Bombyx mori: one gene and its partner. The protein of the gene in region 2 purifies or fractionates together with the protein of the main gene of each other region. This does not show direct contact. Links are inferred from orthologs where the notes say so. Each region holds a gene or a part of one and is shown on either strand. Other genes may lie near its edges. The genes, in order: syntaxin-18 and sec1 family domain-containing protein 2.

What was found.
Region 1: the proteins of sec1 family domain-containing protein 2 (region 2) and syntaxin-18 purify together in Homo sapiens (co-immunoprecipitation; 3 studies listed by BioGRID and IntAct, counting the BioPlex papers as one, with this or other methods). This does not show direct contact. The link is inferred for Bombyx mori from reciprocal best matches to the Homo sapiens genes SCFD2 and STX18.

Annotation. Positions count from the first base shown.
Region 1 is NC_085127.1:13,549,831-13,553,765, reverse strand, and holds syntaxin-18, read left to right. Parts: upstream 1-1,573; 5' UTR 1,574-1,713; coding exon 1,714-2,490; intron 2,491-3,125; coding exon 3,126-3,314; 3' UTR 3,315-3,332; downstream 3,333-3,935. Other genes in the region: cotranscriptional regulator FAM172A homolog, read left to right, coding at 3,891-3,908. UniProt on the Homo sapiens protein: Syntaxin that may be involved in targeting and fusion of Golgi-derived retrograde transport vesicles with the ER.
Region 2 is NC_085114.1:11,520,031-11,523,865, forward strand, and holds part of sec1 family domain-containing protein 2, read left to right. Parts: intron 1-1,288; coding exon 1,289-1,515; intron 1,516-2,185; coding exon 2,186-2,355; intron 2,356-2,722; coding exon 2,723-3,006; intron 3,007-3,590; coding exon 3,591-3,752; intron 3,753-3,835. UniProt on the Homo sapiens protein: May be involved in protein transport.

The DNA of each region.
Region 1 (3,935 bases), on a different chromosome or scaffold from region 2:
ACCACTTGTTTTTCCTACCTTAGCTGATTGTCGAGAGAGACCATGTCAGCGTCACCAGGCTAGCTCACCTAAGCTCACGGGGCTCAAACCTGAAGACGTTGCTAACACGAACCCTGGCAAGAGCCGTGCTTCGCAGAATCTACCACGGGATCGAAAACGCGACCCACTGAGAAGATCCGGCGAGAAACTCAGTGGGCTGTGTCTGTGGGTTAATTTACTCGCCGAGCCCTTCGTCGCGAGCGTCGGGTTCACCAAGAATGATGACCGGTGCTTGGGTTACTTAAAAGCACCGTTAGTGGATCTTTTTTTTTTATTGCCTTTGTATATATATCTTTTAAATCTCTGTCTTCAATGGGTTGATGTTGGATGGTTAAATTTGAGGTGATTGGGTTCTGTAGGTGATGGAGGGCTATTTAAAAACACACTGCTTCATTATAATTATATTGCAGATAGTTTGAACACCATTTTAAAATTATTATCTTTATATTTTTATAAAACTTCTTACATGTTTCTTTGACCGTGTCTAGATTAGAAGTATTGACTTTTTCTTACGAGAATACAATCATCTGTTTTTTAAACGTTTAAAATAATTCTAATATTCGAAATCTGTAATCATGCGTCAAGTGCTGCCTGCCATTACATTTATATTCAAACTCCAACAGTTGAACTGAATTAAATTCAATTCACCCAACTGAACTGAGAACTGTCTAAGCATCTTCATGCTTAGACAGTTCTCTAACAGACCTAAATTTGATCGTGTCTGCTGCACCACGCTCTGAGCGAAGCTCTCATAGCTGATATGTCATACATTATAACACAAATGTGAAACCTAATAAAAAAAAGAAACAAAAAAGTTAAAAATTGTGTATTTTTTCTAAACTTTGAAACCGAGTTTTAAAAAAAAGCAAGTGTTCAAATATCAGGCATGTACCTTATCTATTCTCGCCACAGTGAGCAAAAAAGTGCCTTAACATAGAAATAAAAAAATATATTTAAAAAATCATAACTCGAAAACTATTAAAAATCGCGGAACGTACATGGGGGTGGTTCGGATAGCCCTAGTGATGTTCTACCTCTGGACTTCGGCTTGACACTATTTTTTAGGGCACCCTGTATAAGCGACAGAAGCTTTATAGAGTGGTGTAACATTTATTTCTGTCTCTCTTCCGTCTCCATTCGATCTGAAATGCTTTCGGCTACTGTAAATTTACGAGCAAAAGACTTCAGATCAGATTGTGTATAATAATTTTTTTAAGGGATTTTATGACCTGATAACTTTCTTCGGATGTACATACTGACTTTTTATTTTTTCACATAAAATTATACGACTAACTAATTAATGCTAGGCAACAACTATTCTTCTTAATAAACTTATGATGGTTAGATGGTTGGATGGCAAGAAGACCAGTTCTAACATGAAGAAACACTAAATAGACAAAATAAAACAAATCACACAACTTCACTCCACGTGTTCCCGCCAAAAAGTCCATGTAGCCATCACAGATTAAAATATTTATTACTATTAAAATATTTATTACTACTTAAAGCCATGCTTACTTTGCCTTTTCAATTGGATAATTTTAAAAAGAGAATTTGGTTAGTGTCTACTCTGTGAGGACATTATTGATTTGTCAATTCAATTTGTCAAAAACGAGTAAAACTTACGTGTTATTGAAGGAAAAAACATTTAAAACATAAACAAATCCTCTTAAAATGGATATAACACCATTATTTAAGGCTTGCATAAAAACTGTTAAAACTCGTAACAAGGCTTTCGGCATACACAGTCCGATTAGCGAAGATAAGCAACGCATATTGAGGGTGAAATCAAAAAATGCTTTCATGGCAACAGCTAAGGATATTTGTTCACAAATTACAAAGCTTAGGGACTTTTTATTGGAACACCGCGATAAATATTTAAGCTTCTTCAATAATGTTACTGGAGACGATATGTCTGATGAAGAGCGCGACCAAATAGACACCGGTGCGCAACGTATCATGAACACATGCTCACACCTGCTAAAAGAGTTCAGGAATGATAATCGAAGAACTACAGTGACCCCACAAACTAGGGAATATATGGACTCAGTCGTAGATTTAATTGATGCTTATTTAAAAGCTGTTTGTAAAGTGCATAGTGAATTGAAAGCAATGAGAGTTAAGCGAGCTTTAGATATGAGAAAATTGTCTAGACTTGAGCTACCAGCGACCAAATCTAGTATTCCTAATCCGTTTACACTAGATAAGGTAATAGAAAAAGAGAATGAGACAGAAGATGAAAAAGAAAATACAAAAACAAAATTAGACTTATCAGAGAATGAGATGGCAATTATGTCTGATGAAGGAGAGTTGACTTCAGAAGAGTTGCAAATGTTTGAGTCGGAGAATGTACAGCTGTTAAATGAACTAAACAGTATGACGGAAGAAGTTAAACAAATTGAAAGCAAAGTACTACACATTGCAGAACTTCAAGAAATATTTACTGAAAAGGTAAAAGGTTAAAATTGAATAAATACATAAGCCATTTAAAAAAAAAAACAGATTACAAGAAAAGAATATCTGCCACCAGAGAGGATGAATGTTGTTTATTATAGTCTGTGTATTATATCTTTATAAAATTGCACATACTGGTACATACATATCATAACTATCTTGATCTTAAAATATTCATATTTGGATGTTCTTTCATACGTAAACTATTGGATGTAAATAAATTTTTCAAATCCATGATACTTTAATTGATTTATTTAGATTCAAATTGATATTACTGTTTGTAAAAGTATAATTAACAGTAGCGGTTAAGAATATCTGCCACCAGAGAGGATGAATGTTGTTTATTATAGTCTGTGTATTATATCTTTATAAAATTGCACATACTGGTACATACATATCATAACTATCTTGATCTTAAAATATTCATATTTGGATGTTCTTTCATACGTAAACTATTGGATGTAAATAAATTTTTCAAATCCATGATACTTTAATTGATTTATTTAGATTCAAATTGATATTACTGTTTGTAAAAGTATAATTAACAGTAGCGGTAGGCAGGTAGCTTTTAATAATGAGATATACAAACAGTTTGTCTGACATAAAATGTAAAAAGTGTAAATATGTTTCAGGTTTTACAACAAGAACAAGACATAGATAGAATATCGAATACAGTTGTCGGGGCAACTGAAAACGTTAAGGATGCCAATGAACAGATTAAGCAAGCTATACAAAGAAACGCAGGCCTAAGAGTATATGTTCTGTTCTTCTTACTGGTCATGTCGTTCAGTTTGCTGTTCCTAGATTGGTATAATGATTAAATTTAGTAGTTACTGGTGGTTTTGTGTTTCATTTTCTAAATAATGATAATTTTACAAAAAAAAGGAACAGTTTTGATGATAATAAAATGATCTTAATTGAAATTTTGGAATCAATGATGTTAATATTTTCGCTTTAAATAAACACGTTTTATCAGAGGCTTCTTATGTTTTTTTATGTGAATACGCAAATATTTCACTATCGGTTATATAAAATATACACTATTATTGCTAGAGTTTCGATCTATACTTTAGCCAAACATTTTTTTAGTTGTTTAAAATACAACTATACATATACTAACTAACTATTATACTTATGCTACTAACTTTAACTTATATGAATCTTAGTTGATAACATGAGAAAATGCTGTTAATTAACGTTGTACCATCTATATTATTTTAAAAATACCACTATTTTATTAATTTAGTTACAAATATAACTTCGGTTTTTTACCAGTCGACTAACTTGGCTGTATGTGCTATTTTCTCTTGGACTATCTATTTAAACGTCAAAGTCCAAACTGTCAAGTTCCAACCCCGGGACCTGGGGATTGTTTATTTTTCAGTTTCAAGACCTAGATGCATATAAATTCAGCTGTAATAAAACATATATCAATGTGTTTC
Region 2 (3,835 bases):
TGTTTAGATTTTATTTAGTAATTGTGATGCAAGACTAAACATATCTTAGGTGGATAATTAGTAAAAAGGATGCACAGTGCACCTTGAGAATAACTTTTAGATGAGGTGACAAGCAAAATGTCACGCTTATGCAATGTCATGTTACAATGAGTGAGTGAATAAGAGAAAGATTATTATCGAAAATAAGATGTGATGATGTAAACAAGCAGACAGAAATTGTAGTTAGCAGTAATACTTTTAGTATTCTTTTGCTCTAAATAGACAGAGGAGATCATGGCAAACTGTCTATTATATAATGCTGGAGCTTGCAGACATCATAATGAGAGTCCTACCTTGAAACATGGGGTTCAAGTTTCATTGTCTAGCATAAACATTGTTCAAAACGGAGATCTTGTTTGCGATACCTGCGAGTTTAGTTTGTGGCCCTTAATATGTGCTAATGTGTGCTCCTGTAGTACATTTAATCTTAGTTGATGATGACTTTGTTTTTTTTTTTTATTGCTTAGATGTGTGGACGAGCTCACAGCCCACCTGGGGTTAAGTGGTTACTGGAGCCCATAGACATCTACAACGTAAATGCGCCACCCACCTTGAGATATAAGTTCTAAGGTCTTAGTATAGTTACAACGACTGCCCCACCCTTCGAACCGAAACGCATTACTGCTTCACGGCGGAAATAGGCGGGGTGGTGGTACCTACCCGTGCGGACTCCCAAGAGGTCCTACCACCAGTGAAAAAACTAACAATAATTGTATATCAGTATTACTATTAACATTGGAACCTCTGGGTCTGCGGAGGGACTTTGGATGCCTCTGTATTTTGTACCGTGTGTTCCATGGGGAGTGCTCTGAGGAATTTTTTGAGATGATCCCCTCATATCCTTTTTATCGGGAGGTGCGATCCCGTCATCGGAGCAGAGTTCATCCATATTATCTGGAACCGCTGCGTTCATCGACAGTGCGTTTCCAAAGGTCTTTTTTTGCCAAATACCATCCGGCTATGGAATGAGCTCTGCTCCACGGTGTTTCCCGAGCGCTATGACAGTTCCTTCTTCAAAAGAGGCTTGTGGAGAGTATTAAGCGGTTGGCAGCAGCTTGACTCTGCCCCTGGCATTGCTGAAGTCCATAGGCGACGGTACCCACTCACCATCAGGTGGGACGTAAGCACGTATTACTACGATGGGCAATAAAAAAAAACATTAATATGGATAATCCAAAGTACATTATTAAATGTTACGTATATTAAATGATAATAAATGTGTTTTTATACCATCGATATATTATTTTAGAATCACCCATCCAGATGACCTACAACTAAGCCCGGGCTGTCTCTACCACGCGAACGATGATATATGCACACAAACCTTTGAACACATGCTAAACAAGTCTCAAAAGGAAGTGATGTTTGATTTATACAATAAATTGTCAAAGTTGGACGTACAGCGGTCACCGAGTCCCAAGACTCTGCTCAGGGTTACTCCACAGAGCGTCGACAAGATCGTTACGGCGGCTAAAGGTAATTTTCATTTTATATGTTAGGATATACAAAGAAAACGTGTTAAAAAATAATAGTTTAAAAAAACTAACAAAATACGCTTTTATAGAAAATCCAACTATAAAAGAGAAAAATAATTTTAATAAATTTGATTTAAAAATAGTGTAAGAAAAAATGATTTTATTGTAAAAAAGCGTATTTTGTTAGTTTTTTTAAACTATTATTTATTTTTCATTTTTTAGTTGAATAATATTTTTTTTCAATTTTTTGTTTATCAATATTTTTTTAGTATTGAATTATCATCGGTCCTTAATAAGTAAACCAAATTTCGAGTTAATCCGACGTTTTCAAGGTGTTCAAAATCATGTTCCGTTCAGATTCCGTTACAGACTGGTGGTAGGACCTCTTGTGAGTCCGCACGGGTAGGTACCACCACCCTGCCTTCTTCTGCCGTGAAGCAGTAATGCGTTTCGGTTTGAAGGGTGGGGCAGTCGTTGTAACTATACTAAGACCTTAGAACTTATATCTCAAGGTGGGTGGCGCATTTACATTGTAAATGTCTATGGGCTCCAGTAACCACTTAACCCCAGGTGGGCTGTGAGCTCGTCCAACCAACTAAGCAATAAAAAAAAAGGCATACACACGTCTGAAGCTAATAAAAGCGTATTAAAAATTATAAAACTCATTACAGGGAATTATGACGTAATAAGCAATCATCTAGGCATACTACAGCTGGCATTAGCCGTCGTACAAACGTTGAAGTCGCCGAGACGAGCTCAATTGGAACTCCTGGCGAGCTTAGAGAAACAGGTCCTTCAGAATTTGGGTGCCAGCCGAGACTCCACTAGTGTTTTGCAACAGGTGCGTTGTTAGTACTTACTTCAAACGGGCAGCTGAGTTGATGGTTTTCCAGGTGCCATAAGGTTCGCAGAGCATAGATACTACTATATAAAGCTCATAATTTTAGCTTGAAGATTCAATAATAACAATTTAAGTAGGTCTACAAATAATGACTGTTTAGTAATTTTTTACAAACCTGTACTACAGTATAGTTTTGTAAACTGAAAAGGAAACTATTCAGTACTAGTAGATAAGTTAAGTGTTAACCGATTTTTGGTAGCTATTGTGAAGTTTGAATAAAAATCATTAACTAAAAGAATTCTGGGAACAGACACAAATAAGTTTTGAAAGTTTTTATTTATTTTACCTTCTTTCAAAATATTTTCAGATGAGTACATTAATAAAATCCCGTAAAGAACGCAATTTGCCTTTGGATAATCTGCTCGCGTTAATCATTCACATATACTCTCTCGGCGGTACTGAAGTCACATTCTCAAAAACTCATGAACAGGATCTAATTGAGGCTCTCAGTGTTGCCATGTTCGAAGATCACAAAAGCTTATTTCCTCAAGTTGAAGGGCATATAGTAACACCGGAGGAATGTGATGAGATTTCTCAAAAAACATTGAAGCGACTAAAGGAAATAGCATTGATGAGGAAAAATTTGCAGAAGTATGTTTTTTTTTTAATATTCTTTCAATATGCAAACATTTGTTTAATAGTTGTTTTTTTTTCACTCATTGTATTAGAAGAAAATCTTCTGGGTCAGTTTCTACAAAATAAAGCAGGCACATATTAAATCTTAATAAAAAAAAAACAGCAATGCATTTAGATTTGTTAAGCAAACCCATAGATGTGTCTCTTCAAACTGTAATGCATGAAAATTTCCGACAGAAATGGAAATGTTAATAATTAAAACTACTTTCGAGGTTTACTTAACCTTTACTAGCGACCCGCCCTCGCTTTGCTTCGGAAACTGTAATTTATTATTGATTTCTCCACTATTTAATGGATGTTATTATACATATAAATCTTCCTCTTCAATCACTCTATCTATTAAAAAAAACCGTATCAAAATCCGTTGCGTAGTTTCAAAGATTTAAGCATACATAGGGACAGACAGATATAGGGACAGAGAAAGCGACTTTGTTTTATACTGTGTAGTGATTAGAAAGCATAGTGTTACCTATTCATCCGACCTCATCATATAGTTAACCACTTGTATTCTAAATACAATTACGTTTCTAAATACACAGATACAACTCGTTAATAAAGACAAGCGAGACAGGAATCGGGCACGAATACCGCGGCCTGTTACTGCAGCTAGTCGATGACCTCGTGGACACGGATAGACCAGAACTAACAGACCTGCGACACAGAAATGAGGGTATCAAAGATTTGCTGAGAAGCGGCTTGAAGTGAGTATAGTTTTAATGTATATGGGGCTCTCGTGCGAAGTGTAACAAAAATCATTGGAATAACAATTACAGTAAAAGCTTTT